Oreochromis niloticus: one gene and its partner. The protein of the gene in region 2 interacts with the protein of the main gene of each other region in a biochemical or structural test. Links are inferred from orthologs where the notes say so. Each region holds a gene or a part of one and is shown on either strand. Other genes may lie near its edges.

Region 1 (7,371 bases), on a different chromosome or scaffold from region 2:
ATCAAAACAGGAATCCAAAAATTCAACAAACACAAAAATCAAATCTCAAAGAAAAAAAAGAAACCAACAACACAATCATTGGACAAATGCAGGGAGTTATATTACATTTAGATAAAGCTAAGATAGAGATAAAAAGAATCACCACAGGAAGGCAAAACCTCGGGTTCTCAGAGGTGAACAAGACCAAAGTTATGGCCATCAAAGCTGACCGAACCTTCCCAGATCACCAAATACAACACATTATCAGTAAATAAATAAAGTAGTAGGTCACTCATGAGCTCCCTAACAGCCTCCTTGCCACTCATTCATGAAAACTTTGTGAACTCCCCCAACGCTAAATTTATCCCTGTTCAAGTTTGCCCTCGAAAACAAGCAAGCAAAGACAGCAGTAAAGCCTTTCCTGTATTTGGCTCTGACCAGATGTATTTCTGCCTGTATCCACAGAGACAAAGGAGTCCAACTGGACTGTAAAACGCTGCTCAGTCATGTAATTTTACAGTTAAGAAGGTAAAGCAGCACAGCTGTACACGGACCTAAAGAGAGTTAAATGGACAAATATGCACATATTTTAGCAGCTCACACTGTAACAGCTCCAGTGGGTCTCATAAACATTCACAGACACTTTTCTCTGCTTCAAATGTTAGAAGATGTAGTTCGAGCTGCACAGCTGTGAATTCAATATTTGCACTGCAAAATCCTACAGTCATGTACACTGAGTGAATGCGTTTCTGTCTCCTTTAAATCGAAGCTGTGCTTGTTTTCTTGCAGCCATGGAGGCGACGGTGGTGGTGATAGCCCAGTCGTGACGGGACAGACAGTGTGCCTTCCACAACACTCGCCTATCTGTCAACCAAGCCAGAGCGACCGGCGGAAAACAAAAAACATGAATAGAGGTAGTCACAGGTGTAACTGACTCGAACGTCCTTTCTGAAATGTTATCAGAGTTGTCTTCTGTATTAGTGCTTGTGAGGTGATTCCTATCATGTCCTCTAGGTGCCACTGTTGCAAAACCTTTCATGATCAGCTGAGGCTTCTTTAAATCTTTCAGCAGGCAGTGGAAGTGGGTTACTGTAATACTGTGTTTTATTTTAGTACTGTGATAGACCACTTTTATAGATAATAAGCTTGCCAATGTGGACAAGACTTTTTAATGGGAGTGTCACCTCAGTGTGATTTACCTGCTCATATCAGCTCACATACATGTAATAACTTTATTTCAGAACCAGAGTTACAAAGTTCTTCAAAATATTTACAAAAAACAATCTTAAAACAGTAGAACGTTTATAAAATGAGAACTGCACAAATAGATGTATAAAGGTGAGGAAAAGCATCAGGTTTAATAACAGATAACAAAATCCAAAAGAGGCAAATCACAGACAATGAAGTGAAGAGCAGGGGCATCTTCAGAATTTTTTTTCATAGGAGTGGCCATATGGGGGCCACTAAAAATATTGGGAATTTCCAGTTTTATTATGCTGTTGTCAAATATTGGTTACTTAAAAAGAAGAGAAGAGAAGAGAAGAGAAGAGAAGGGCAGGACTATTTATACACCCGGGGCTAACCGGTTTTGTGTTACTCTAACGAAATGGTACTAAAACAGGAGAATGAGACACAGGTGAAAGTAATCAGGATATTCAGACAGATGAGTAAAACCCAAAACAAACTATCAAAATAAAATAAAAAAACAATCCACAAAACAGGAAGAAACACTGAGGGAAGTAAGCATGTGAGAAATCCATCTATCCATCCATTTGAGTGTGAGTTATCTTGCCTGTTGTTACAGGCTGTTCAGTTCTTTTACAACACAGTGAGAGCTTGGTCCGTATTGCCAATAATAAGTTGGATTTAGTCCTGATCGCAGTTTGACAGCCAGTGCTGTCCTCTGTCGGGGATTATATTCCTAATTTCTATGGACAGGATTTCTGTGTGTAGGCAAGCACGGGAAAGTCTCCGGTTTTGTGGCTGATCGATCTCAAGTGCTTTGAGTGCTCAAGCAGAGTAGAAAAGTGCTATATAAGAATCAGTCTATTTACCATCTAATATCTGTTTTTTATGGATGTGGTTCTGTTGGCTTCATCAGGTGACCACCTCCATCTCGCACTGGGGTGGTTCGCAGCTGAGTTTGAAGCAATGAGAATGAAAATGATCTCCTCTGAGCCTGGGTGGAGTGCTCACTCTGGGTGAGAGATGAGTTGCTGTGCTAAGTGAAAGAGTCTAAGTATCTCGGGGTCTTGTTCACAAGTGAAACGAACAGGAGACTGACAAACAGATCAGTGTTCCATCCGCAGTGCGGACACTGTACCGGTCTGTTGTGGTGAAGAAAGAGCTGAGCATGAAAATAAAGCTGTCCATTTACCAGTTACCAACCTTACCTATGGTCACAAGCTCAAGGTAGTGGATACAATAATGTCATCTCAAATACAAGTAATGGAAATTCCTCTAACTTAGAAATCGGGTGAGGAGCTCAGTTATTTATGAGTGGCTTAGACTGGAGCCGCTACCCCTCAGCATTGAAAGGAGCCAGCTGAAGTGATTCAAGCATCTGACTACGATACTTCCTGGGTGCCCTCTGGGTGAGGGCAGACCCAGCACACGCTGGAGAGATTATATCGCTCAGCTGGCTTGGACACATCTTGCTATCGCCATAAATAAGGTGGAGGAGGTGCCTGTGTAGAGGGAGGTCTGGGCTTCTCTGTGTAAGCTGCTCCCCCACAATCCAAACCCAGATAAGTGGCAGAAGATGGATGGATGGATGGATGGATGGCTGGCTGGCAGACAATCTTTTTCTCATAATACAAAGGCAGGTACTTACATGACTGTCTTATTATCCATATATATTAGAATTTTCTAGGTTTTAGTCTTCCTCTACAACTACAATAAAAAAAATAAGTGGGGTTTTATTTACTCAAAGGAAAAAAGAATTTTGTTTGTCAAATGGCAGAAAAATATTGTTGTTGTTTATATTTTAGCTTCTGCAACAAAAGTTTGCTTTGAGTGGTTTAAATATTAAGTATGTGAACGTCAGTGCTTCCAGTTATGTAAGAGTGACACAAAAGCTTTATTTTACATACAGAAATAAACATGTTATTGATGCACTTTTCCTTCTTTTCTGATACCACTAGCACCTAAAATAGTTTAGAAAAAAGTGTTGAAAGGTTAAACACACAAACACAGACACATATACACACATACGGAGGTGAAAAATACCTGATGCCAGAAAATATCCCGTAAACACACTTCCACATCCATACCAACACCTGTCTATACTTACACAAATCTCCATTTATGTGCAGACTGGGTAAGAGAATAAGAGAAAATGATTGTAGATATACAGATTGAAACTTTGTTTAATATATTTGCATATTAAACAGTAACTTTAAAGCTTGTAATTAGCAAATTGCTCTGCAAATGACTTCTCTGTTGTCTGATAATGTGCTCAAATTTTAAATAAAGTGATGTAATAACACATGAGATCATATGTTTTTGAGCATTTGTCTGTTCTTTTTGATCTTTTTGGATTAACTTGCTCAAAGGCAAACAGAAGAAAGATAAATTATGTGTCCCCTTTGCTCAAGTTTGTGGTGCAGAACAAGTTGATGTGTTGTCAACTTTAGGAGTGCCAAAATCTACAGTCTACTTTATTCTTAAAAAAGGAGGATTATTGTTATTGCTGAGCACTGGCCAGTTCAGCAATAACAAAAGGCCATGAAGACCACAGAAGACATCTAAGGTGGGTGATTGCTGAATTCTTTACTTGGTTACGAAAAACAACTTCACAATATCCCGTCAAAGTCTACAATCAAGAGATACATTAATGTACATGAGACAAAATTAGACTTTACAAGAAAACACCTAAAAGATCCTGCAGAGGGTTGGACAGATTAAACTGAGAAAAACTTGTGCTCATGATCTGAAGAACATATCACCACTCAAAGATAGTGGAGGTAGTGTAATGGCATGGCCATGTGCCACTGGGACAGAGTTCCTTAATGATGTGACTGCTTACAGAAGCAGCAGGATGAATTCTGTAGTGTACAGGGCTATAATCTCTGCTTAGATTCTGGCAAAGGTGGCAAACACGATCCAGTGCAAATGGATAATGACCCAAACTGCAAAAGCAACAAAAAAACAGATATTCTTCAGTGGCCAAGTAATGATCTCATGTTCTCTATGCAAACAGAGCATGCTTTTCATTTGCTGAAGACAAACCCGAAGGCAGAGATCCACAAACAAGCATCTGATGAGAGGAAACGGCATGTGGTCTGCACTTCAGTCACGTGTGGACTGTTTGATTTAAACCCCACTGTGTACTGCTGTAACGAATGACTCTTTAATGTGTTGGTGGGCTGGGATTGTTTATGATACGGCGTGACGTCACTAGTGTCACTTGCCTGAACAAGCAGAGTAAACTGACCGAGCCAGTCTCCATGAGCCTCTGCAGACTCGAACGACCGCTTCGCAGCTCACTCACTGACCCGCATTTACACCCCAGAATCGCGGAAGACTTGATTCTGGTCGGCCGAGAGGCTCCGGGAGGTCTCCTCCTCCCCCTCCTCACCATGAAGGCGACCAGCTAACGCTAGCCGAGCAGTGTCCGCTAACAGCGGGACTCCTCCGGGCTGACAGTTTACAGCAGCGGCGGGTTCAGAGGAGGAGGGGGTTAGCACCCAGCTAACCACACACTGCTGCCTGTGAGCCGATCAGGAGCTGAAAGGAAGGATTAGACGGTGAGTGAGCTGACTGTAGCAGCGTTAGCCACATGGTTTGTTGTTATCCTCTGTTTACTTGCTTTTCTTTCAATGCTAACTTAGCTAGCTAGCGTTAGCAAAGTTAATGCTCCACATTCAGTTTCTGCTCGGGGCTCTCAAAGAGATTTGGGCGTTACATGTTGAGTAGACTATTAGTTTAGGGAGGTATCATTTCAATAACAGATTCTCTCCTGTGGGCTGCTCTTTATGTCCAACATAGTCTTTGACTACAGGTTAGGGTTAGCAGGTGTCCCAGTTTGTGTGGGACTGCACAGCACCTTCAGCCTTAGTCCAGTTGACATGTTTAAGTTATTGTGTTACAATCAGAGAATAATTGTAAGACACCAACGTAAAAAAACCCCGACTTTAGCATCCATTTATATGTATGAGAAGCTGTAAAAGTTGGATAAAAATAAAATGCAGTATATCTATAACTTTTATAGATCTACACACCAACATGTTGTCTTTATGAGGTTTTAATTTGCTTTCGGAAAGGCATCAGACAATAATACAAAATACAGCAGCTGTTTGTTTTTAAAGTTATATACACCTTTGACATCAGTAATTTTTTCCACATTTAGTTTGTTGGGATCTGGTAACTACTACATGCATGTAACATATAAACTATAATCTTGGATCTGACTCCACTGCTTTTTATGCGTCAGAGGTGCCACATTGAGCAAACTTAGAATAGTGTCAACACAGGTGAGTGTGCGGGTTAAGAGGCAGATTTGCATTATGATGTTGTAACAGGTGTTGTGGTCACAAGTAGGTCATTGTTGCTCATGTATTTATTCTTTTTTTTGCCTCATTTCCTGTTAGAAAATGTGATTAGCTGACAACTGAAAGATTTTCTCTACACGCTGTAATGCATTTTGCCATCAATGTTGTTAATTTATTTATTTTATGTAGGCCCTACAAATATCCTGAATAGGAAATGTAATGACACAACAGTGGCAGGGGGGTGGGGTGCATTGCTTTACAAGACTTAAATAAATAAATACGATAACATAAAATAAATATAATAATAATAATAATAAATACATGTTGCAGATTTTCTTAAATCTGTGTCGCACCTCGTTCTTCTGCAACAGTTCTTGGACAGGTGGGACAAAAATGAAACCAACACTAAAACCTTATTGCAGTTGTGAAGCATGGTGGAGGTAGCATCATGGTTTTGGGGTTCTGCCTTGTGAGTGAACGAGTGGATAAATGGATTTATTTATTTATTTTAAATTTATCTCTGGCCTGATTCTGGCCCAGCATGTGCCCCCCTGCTGGTGCATGCATCAGCCTAACGTCCTGATCTTAATCTATCTGAGACTCTGAGGAATAACCTGTGAAAGGTTAAACATATCCCGACTGTTCTTAGAGCTCCTGAAATGATCTGAGATCATTTGTATGGGTAATTATTACATTAGTATTTCCAAAGAATTCACCCTCTTTCTCGCAGCTGTGTGCGTTGGTGTGTGGAGGTATTTACAGTTTGATTGTGTGGGGGCAAAGGACCTATTTAAATGCTACAGGCTGGGAGTGTCCACTCTTTGTGCTCGTTCATCATTAACCAGACAGCGTATCCTGCAGTTTGAGTCAACAGTTGAACTGTGTGGTCTGAAGGTTCCACAAATGTTCTCCACTGCAAACATGGACCCTGGAATACAAAGGGTTGGTTGCCACAGAAGATGATGTATAATGGGATACAAGAGAGGTGTGCAAGTTTAAATCACAAAAGATTGCACTTGTTGTGTGACTGTGGCCAAAATTCTGCTCATTATTATTTAATGTTATAACTTGATTTTGGGGACATCATGCACTTGTGCTCTTGCTCCTTACTACACATGAAACCAAAGTGTTTCAAAAGAGATGAAGTCATTTTACTTCATCTGAAGCTCCAACAGCCTGTAGGGGGAGTGAATTTGGGGTTTCAGAGAAGAGTGAAAATGCTTCAGCCTAAAGAAATAAAAGATCAACAGTATAAAAGGAACAAAGCAAAATAATTTTTATCTCAGTTATTATGTTCTTATAGTTGTTCAAACCATATTTGTAACTGATGAGTTTTCTGAATCACATGCATTATTCTATTTGCACAGAGGATACAAATAAACAATGCATTTCTAAACTGCCAATTCCATCTCATTTATAAATTGTATTGTGATAAATATCTCTGTAATAATCGTGTTATTCAATCCTTCTAACATTTATAAAAGGCAGTTTTAAGTAGTTTTAAAATGAAAGTTGAAACAAGTTAAACTTGAATTAAATATTTGATTAGTCTGTCAGAAATACAGATGAATTATCTATTTATTGTTTATCCGTTTTTATGTGTTATTTTTTTATTGAGCTTCATTCACTACATTGAGTCAGTTTGTGCAGGTTGGAGACTTGGAGTGTTTTTAATGGATTGTCTGACTGATATTATAGTTTGTTGTGACGTATAGATCATCCGAGAAGTTTGTCTTTAGTTCTTTTTAGTTGGCAAATAATTAACTAGAATGTGTGTGTGCATTGCACCTGCATGTTAGAGTTTGACATGATAAATTACGGTCAAGCTTCAAAATGCAGCCTCCAGAACTAGTAGGCGATATCATAATGTCTACGTCCGTCTCTTATCTTCCATGTTGAT
Region 2 (7,509 bases):
CAAGCGCGTAGATTTGGTTTTGGCATTGGTGGGGACGGATGATTCAACCACCGAACCCTGCCCTGTTTCTGTTTTTTCCTTTTTGTCTTTGCTTCTTGATAAAAAAGGGAGAAATATACTTGCCCACATATGCTATTCTACATGCTTTTAAACCATTTAAAATTACAATTTATAGTTTTATATGTGAATTATATAATGTTAAATTACTAATAAACAAATGAATGACTAAGTATTTTAGACTTTAGTTTACTTCAGCCATATTCCATATAAATCAGGTATCATACAAAAATAAAAATAGCTTCAAATACAGTCAAGACAATAAAATATGACTTTAAGGACTTAACAACATTCCTTCAGTTATAGTGCACCAACATCTCTGATACATTAGCACTAAGGGAACACTGAATGACCTGCTGGTTTTTGTCCATAAAACTACTCATCTAAGATGACCACAAAGTAAAAGATCTCTCAGCAACATTATGCAACATTTTAGGCACTATTGCCCCGATCAACTCAGTGAGCTGTTTATTCTAAACATGAACTACTGTTACAGCAACAGACATGGACACAACAACTCAATGTCCACTATGTGAAGCAGCCAAACACATGCCTTCTCCTCTCGTTAACTGAGATGAACTGCTGGGATATTTGTTTTACATCTATACTGTCCAGTCTCTCCTGGTGGACATGGCAACACGTTATTCATGGTTACATACAATTTTAGACTGATGTGGGCCAAAGCCTCGCACATACTTGCCAACCTCAGACCTCAGAATCAGGGAGACATTCAAAAGGGCCGTTTGGGGGGGGGGGAGTGGTATACATATACATACATATATATACATATATATATATATATATATGTATGTATGTACAAAAAACTTGAATTTTACAGTGTTTTATTTATCGGATAACATAAGTTAAATGTCACCGTTATTATTGTCCAGCCGGAAACAGGCCAGGGGTGTCCAAATTCAGAGGCTGTGTCTGAGGACCCGGCCTTCGCGATCTAAGTGGGCCGGGTCCTCCGAAAGCCAGGTAGACCGGAAATGAGCGACTGTGAAATTGGATGGTCTAGCCTTCAGAATTACGTCACAAGCTCTCTCGGTGGAGTGAAACTCTGCCATCTAAAATATAACCGGACGCTGACGTAAATTCTCAGCCATCTCACACTTCTGTTTAATCAGTTTTCTGTTTGACGTTTATTCAGCTGTGTGAAAATCCCGGAGGAACCTACCTGAGGGATCTCCAAAGGTTGAATCTGTTCATCTGGACGTAGCGTTTTGTGGGAGAAACGTTTCGTCACTCATCCAAGTGACTTCTTCAGTCTCAGCTGACTGCAGGTTTCCCCAAACCTTATAAACAGTACATTTGCATAATGCCAGCCCACTGAAGGAACAATGGGCTGTGAGGTCAGTTCCTTAATCATAATTATGCAAATTCCCATGACCATTGATCAACAATCACTGACCAAAACCCACTGATCAAAGAACACTGATCAATGGCCATGAGTCCCATTCACAGAGAGTTGGGGAATGGCTGCAATCACAGCATTGTAAGATGGCGAAAGATGTACCCTTAGGCCCCCTCCTCGATTCAGAGATGGTCTTTCCCTTTTCACGTAAATGGCCTCCTTGACTCCGCGCTCAAACCAGCGTTCCTCCCTGTCCAGGATGTGTACATCCTCATCATTGAAAGAGTGTCCACTGGCCTGTAGGTGTAAATAAACTGCAGAGTCCTGGCCTGACGAGGAAGCTCTTCTGTGTTGTGCCATCCGCTTCGCTAGAGGTTGTTTGGTTTCCCCGATGTATAAATCCTGGCAATCCTCCTGGCACTTAACAGCGTACACTATGTTACTCTGTTTGTGTCGGGGGACCCGATCCTTGGGGTGGACCAGTTTTTGGCGCAGCGTGTTTTGGGGTATTTGCATAATTATGATTAAGGAACTGACCTCCCAGCCCATTGTTCCTTCAGTGGGCTGGTTTCAGTCATTATGCAAATGTCCTGTTTATAAGGTTTGGGGAAACCTGCAGTCAGCTGAGACTGAAGAAGTCACTTGGATGAGTGACGAAACGTTTCTCCCACAAAACGCTACGTCCAGATGAACAGATTCAACCTTTGGAGATTTACTTTCCTGGATGATTGAGAATGCATCAAGACCTACCTGAGGGATCAATAAAGTTTTATTTAATCTAATCTAATCTAATAACTTTAATCTCAGCCAAACAGATTTACTCACAAAGTTTACACAGCTACATTCTCGCCTGAAAATATGTTAAAAGTTTATTTTGCGACCCAGAAAGAGAAATAAGAGTAATATTAAAACTAAGTAGCTGCAGTAGTAGTAGCCATTGGTGGAAACTGGAATTGGCTGGGCCAATCTGGGATATGCTTTTTCAATTTTGTTGTCTGGGTGGAAATTCGGGAGAAATTCGGGAGAATGGTGGCTCCGGGAGAAAAATCGGGAGGGTTGGCATGTATGGCGTAGCATAGCCTGTAACGTTATTATGACGGACACATTTTATGAGTGAACTTGACTTTAAGTGACTTACAGGTTCCTTTAAAAAATACTTTCTTATATCCAGGTTCTTCCTTTGTGCTGCCATCCTCCTCTCCTCCTTGCAGGCTTGCGCTGCTAAAACTAAACAGAGCTCCCTGAAAGGCACAGCCAATCACATTGGCCATATTTGTCACATGAGGCAGGACTCCAGTAGAGAACGTAATTTAACTCTTTCTGCACCGCTGGGTGAATGAGACGCTGACAGATCGGGTTTTTTTCTTTCTATCGGGTTTGTTTTTCTTTACTCGAAGAGATCAAATTATTATTTATTTATTTTTATTTATTTATTAACCTTTATTTAACCAGGAAGATCCCATTGAGATTAAAAACCTCTTTTTCAAGGGAGACCTGGCCAAGATAGGCAGCAACAGGTGTCTCACAGTTACAGAGATTATTCAAACATAGGCATCAACAACACACATGCAACAATAAGTGAAAGAAAACAAATAAAAAGCTTATTGGTGGGGACAATTCAATAATCGCTGGATATTGGTGGGGACATGTCCCTTCCGTCCATGCCAAATCGACGCCCTTGCTTCAAAGCAAACAACTGCAAAATGATTTCAGAGATACGTTCACTTCGGTTTGCCATACAGATATACACAGACACAGAGGAACATTAACGTCACGCACACATAAATGAGCTGAAGACGGTGACATATCTGAAAGCTGAATGAGTTGGATCATTTTCTCATTTTTGGATTAAAAAAGAAAGAAAAACATGATCTCATACACTAAAAAACTTTTGCCTATCATTTTAGTCTTTAAGATTATAACATAATGTAAAACTGAAACACATGAACTCCCACGTGGTTACTGTGTGACTCTTTAAGTGCTGTTGGAGTTTCAACGGCAATTTAAACTCAGTTCTTCATCATTGAGACTTTTTTTTTAGTTGAGCAGATAAGTCAGTTACTTTTTTCATCTGTCAGCTCTTTCCCTGCTGCTGCTTTCTTCCAGAAATGCCTAATAGCTCCATAATAATAATCTTCATGGTCATCTTCATTTATATAGACTTTACATACAGTACATGCAGAAGACAGAGTGCCGAAATGAACTCAGTATTTAAACCATTTTTTTGTGCATTAAAGTTTTTGCGTGTGCATGAAGACAACGTGCATGTGCAAATGTTGTTCAAATATGAAATTAATATAATAGCAATATAATAAAAAGAGCTTTTCCTTCATTTAAAATTATTTTTGGTGCTTAATTTGTTTTGTGAAATATTTTCCAGTAAAAACGTGAGCGGGATTCAAACTATCCCTGGTCAGTATAGGCAGCAGTAACACCGTGTTCACAGTTATGATGATAACATCTCCGTCTGAGCACCTGCAGATCTCAATAATGCAATTTAGTATAGTTAGAGGTTGAGTGTATTATAAAAGTCAGGAGTTCAGAGGTATCATTTATATCAAGTACTAATACAGATGTTTGAATGTGTATTCGAGCTCTTACTATTAGAAACAGATGAAATCACATGAAAGTGGAAGTCATCAATGTGAGTCCGGCTCGTTCGGTCTGTGCCGTCTTCATTTAGGATCAGTAACGTGCTTTAGATCACCTGCTGCCCTCTATCGTCTGTATGTGCTACTGACAGCTTGCATATATAAAGCACACAGATTCTCACGCCTCGGTCTGCTATGGTGAAAAGAATAAGAAAACAAAGATTTGGAGGCATGTGACTCTGACTTTGATCCGCAGTGAATGCATTCATCTGTCGTTAGTTTGTTATGTGTGGATAACGCACATAACCACACACTGTCACGCAGGAAGAAGCGCCGCTCTGTCTCCTTGTTTCTCTGCTAAACCCGCCTTCTTTCGGACGCACAGGATGCTGATTGGTCTTATGTTTTCGGCGACAGCCTCTAGAACGCGTCCTGATTGGCTGAGAGCAGGTCTTTGCACAGACGAGATGCAAATCCAGAGCGGTGCCGGTAAAAGGCTGACGCCAAGATCGGAGATGGCCATTCATCTGCAGGGGAAAGGACATAGAAGTAGTTATGATGAAAGCGCTTACTTACAGAAGCAAAATTTAAAATACAGTCAGATTCTCTCCTTTTTTCCCTCCAACGTCTGCCCATTTCCTTCCACTTTCAGTATGAGCGGAAGTTTGTTCTGCTGAGCTTTGAAGACAGAACCCATCTCAAGTCTGACTTCTACTCTGTGTGGAGAACGCATTAAACACATCTGAACGCGTCGGAGACATGTTTGCACGGATTTAAATGTGTCGCGTTTGATCGGGATAGTTTGACAGATAAGTACTGGACGACGCGCACACAGGAATCCGCTTCTTGGCCGCAAACAGGAGGAAAGCAGGAGGCTTATAGTGAAAGTCAGCGAGAGGAGACTGTGGACGCACAGATGGTGTTTCCGTGGGACGCCAAATACGGTACGACGTATTATTCTGGTTATTGTTCACGATAAAGTGTGAAGACATGCGCAGAGAACATATTTGTTCTAGTCAGCTGTCACATTAGTTTGACTGACTGAGCTGTTGGAGAAATGGTGTTCGTCTCTGACGGTGCGGTGGTAGTCCGTGGTTTGTCGGTCCGTGTGTGTTTGTGTGTGAGCAGTGATGGTGATGTCCATATACTGGAATGTGTGTCATTGTACAACAACGTAGTCATTTACAGGCCTGTAGAAAACATTTGTAGCTTTATACATAATCTAGCATAATACAGCGTTCGTGTACCGGTTTACTCTGTGACATCCAAATCAGCTCAAACGATCATTGTCGGGTTATTGGTTTGATCCAGTCCACGAGTCAAAGTTTCTTAGATTTAAATATACAACCCCACCTTTTCTCAGTGACTGCGTTTGTGAATGGAAACACAGTTATTGTGTGAACAGGTGAATGTGGTTTGTAGTGTTTTGTAAAAGGGGAAAAAGTGGAGTCTGAGTTTTGCACTGCTGCCAGAATTCTTCAGAGATTGATGCAAAATGTTAACCATGTGTTAAAGTGCTCATTCTGAACTAACAAATGTGTGCTATAATACGAATGAGTGTTACCTGAGCTCACTAGGATCCAAAACTTTGGATTTGACTGAGCAGGTCATCAGGTTGGTGGTTCAGTTCCCGGCTGCTCCAGTCTGCATGCCCTCCTTGGGCAAGATGTGAACCCCAGGGTGCTCTCTGTGCTCTCAGTGTGAATGTGTGTGAATGTTAGGCCAAAGGTGCTTGTATAAAAGGACGTGAATGAGGACTGTTGTATAAAATACTTTGAAGACTCCAGATTAGAAATTAAAAAATCAGATATAAGAATCAGTCCATTTAACATTTAGACACATGCTGTATAACACAAATGTAACTATCAGCAAAATAAACGGTCACACCTGTTCACCTAGTTACCTTCTCCTGTGGTTGCAAACAAGCGTACGACGTAAACATCTCTCTCCCTCACTCTGTGTGTGTGTTTTATAGATCCCAGTTCAGGTGTGTGTGTGTGTGTCTTTAACCTGAATAAAAAGCAAGCATAGTCATAATTTGTCAAACACTATCTATAGAAATCTTTCTAGTCATTACCTACTAATCTACTTACTGATTGATCATAAGTTGTGACAGAATAGTGAAAAAAGTCCTTATTGGTGCAGGCTGGGGGGAAAAGAAAATATCTGTGAGCAAACAGAATCGCTACGTTTTCTTTTTCTGCTGAAATAATTTCTTAAACAATGAATGAAGCGTGAAAATATATTCTCATACTGTTCTGATGATTACGTGATTCAAAGACTATTTTTTCCTGGGTTCTGTCATAGACCCTGCCCCCGGTCGCCGCTATACTCCCCCCTCTACCACCCTCGCCTCGGGGGGGAAGATGGCCGAGGCCCTGCCTCTCGGAGCCCAGGAGGCCGGTGGTGGAGCTGCTCTGGTGGGAAAACTGCGAATTGCAGACCACGGGATGGTGGAGGTAGGGCAGCATGGGACTGGTTGCTTATTTCTGTTTTAGACTAAAATAACTGTGCTGCTGTTTTTTCAGGTGATGCCAGATCATCCAGGAGAGCTGGTGAAGACAGACAGTCCCAATTTTCTGTGCTCTGTGTTGCCTACTCACTGGAGGTGTAACAAGACCCTGCCCATCGCTTTTAAGGTGTGTGTGTTGTCATTTCAGCACGGGCCGTGCTGTACATCGTAATGGACTGCGTGTACTTAGAGTTCACATACATACCAGGTTTTACTGTTACGTATACAGTTAGCTCCACCTCTAACCAAGTGATCACGAACCTTTCACCTACTGAAAGTTTCCTGATAATAACATGTAGCATTACCTTTATATATTATTACATCATCGTGAGTTCATCTCTCTGTTACTTTGATTACTTTTACTGTCCTTGTCCAACGTGCTGTTCAGTATATTCACCGTCCACTGACAAACAGAGAAAAGCAGCAATTCTTTACATCTGGGAACAAATCTTTGACATTTTGCCTTTAAACGTTAATTGATGTAAATGGTCCGGATGATTTACGACTTAAGTGTTTAATGTACAAAATCTTAACATTTTGTACATTTTCCAGCATCACTCACAAAGGTCCATTTTTACAGACCTTTATACTGTCTTACCAGTGGGTCATATGATCCATCCACCCTCAGTGATTTAACACAAGTTTGTTTGTTTTTGCTGCGTTTCCCTCATGTGGATGGTTTTCCTGCACTTTGAGACAAAATGCATTTGTGGAAAAGCAGCTTTTAGCTGCAGAAAACACAGTGGATTGATTTACTGAGTTTTATGCATTAGTGTTTGCGCATACATGTGTGTGTAAGAGAGAGTTTGGTGCATTATGCATCATTATGGAGTGTCATGAGCGGATGTCACTGCCTCTTACTGATAATGGATGACTGTTGAGATGAACACACACATTTTATGCACACAGCGAAAGACGCGCATCCATATTGTATGTAGCTGATAACACACACACACACACACTCTGCAGGTATTGTTCTGTATACATACACA

What was found. The genes of interacting proteins can lie anywhere in the genome.
Region 1: the proteins of runx1 (region 2) and elf2b form a complex in vitro, tested with the Homo sapiens proteins (2 studies listed by BioGRID and IntAct). The link is inferred for Oreochromis niloticus from reciprocal best matches to the Homo sapiens genes RUNX1 and ELF2.

What each region holds. Positions count from the first base shown.
Region 1 is NC_031971.2:37,292,595-37,299,965, forward strand, and holds the start of elf2b (ETS-related transcription factor Elf-2b), read left to right. Parts: upstream 1-4,368; 5' UTR 4,369-4,727; intron 4,728-7,371. Other genes in the region: mgarpb (fibrous sheath CABYR-binding protein), read left to right, coding at 769-806. UniProt on the Homo sapiens protein: Isoform 1 transcriptionally activates the LYN and BLK promoters and acts synergistically with RUNX1 to transactivate the BLK promoter. Isoform 2 may function in repression of RUNX1-mediated transactivation.
Region 2 is NC_031986.2:3,441,033-3,448,541, reverse strand, and holds the start of runx1 (runt-related transcription factor 1), read left to right. Parts: upstream 1-4,503; 5' UTR 4,504-4,921; coding exon 4,922-4,949; intron 4,950-6,312; coding exon 6,313-6,464; intron 6,465-6,533; coding exon 6,534-6,644; intron 6,645-7,509.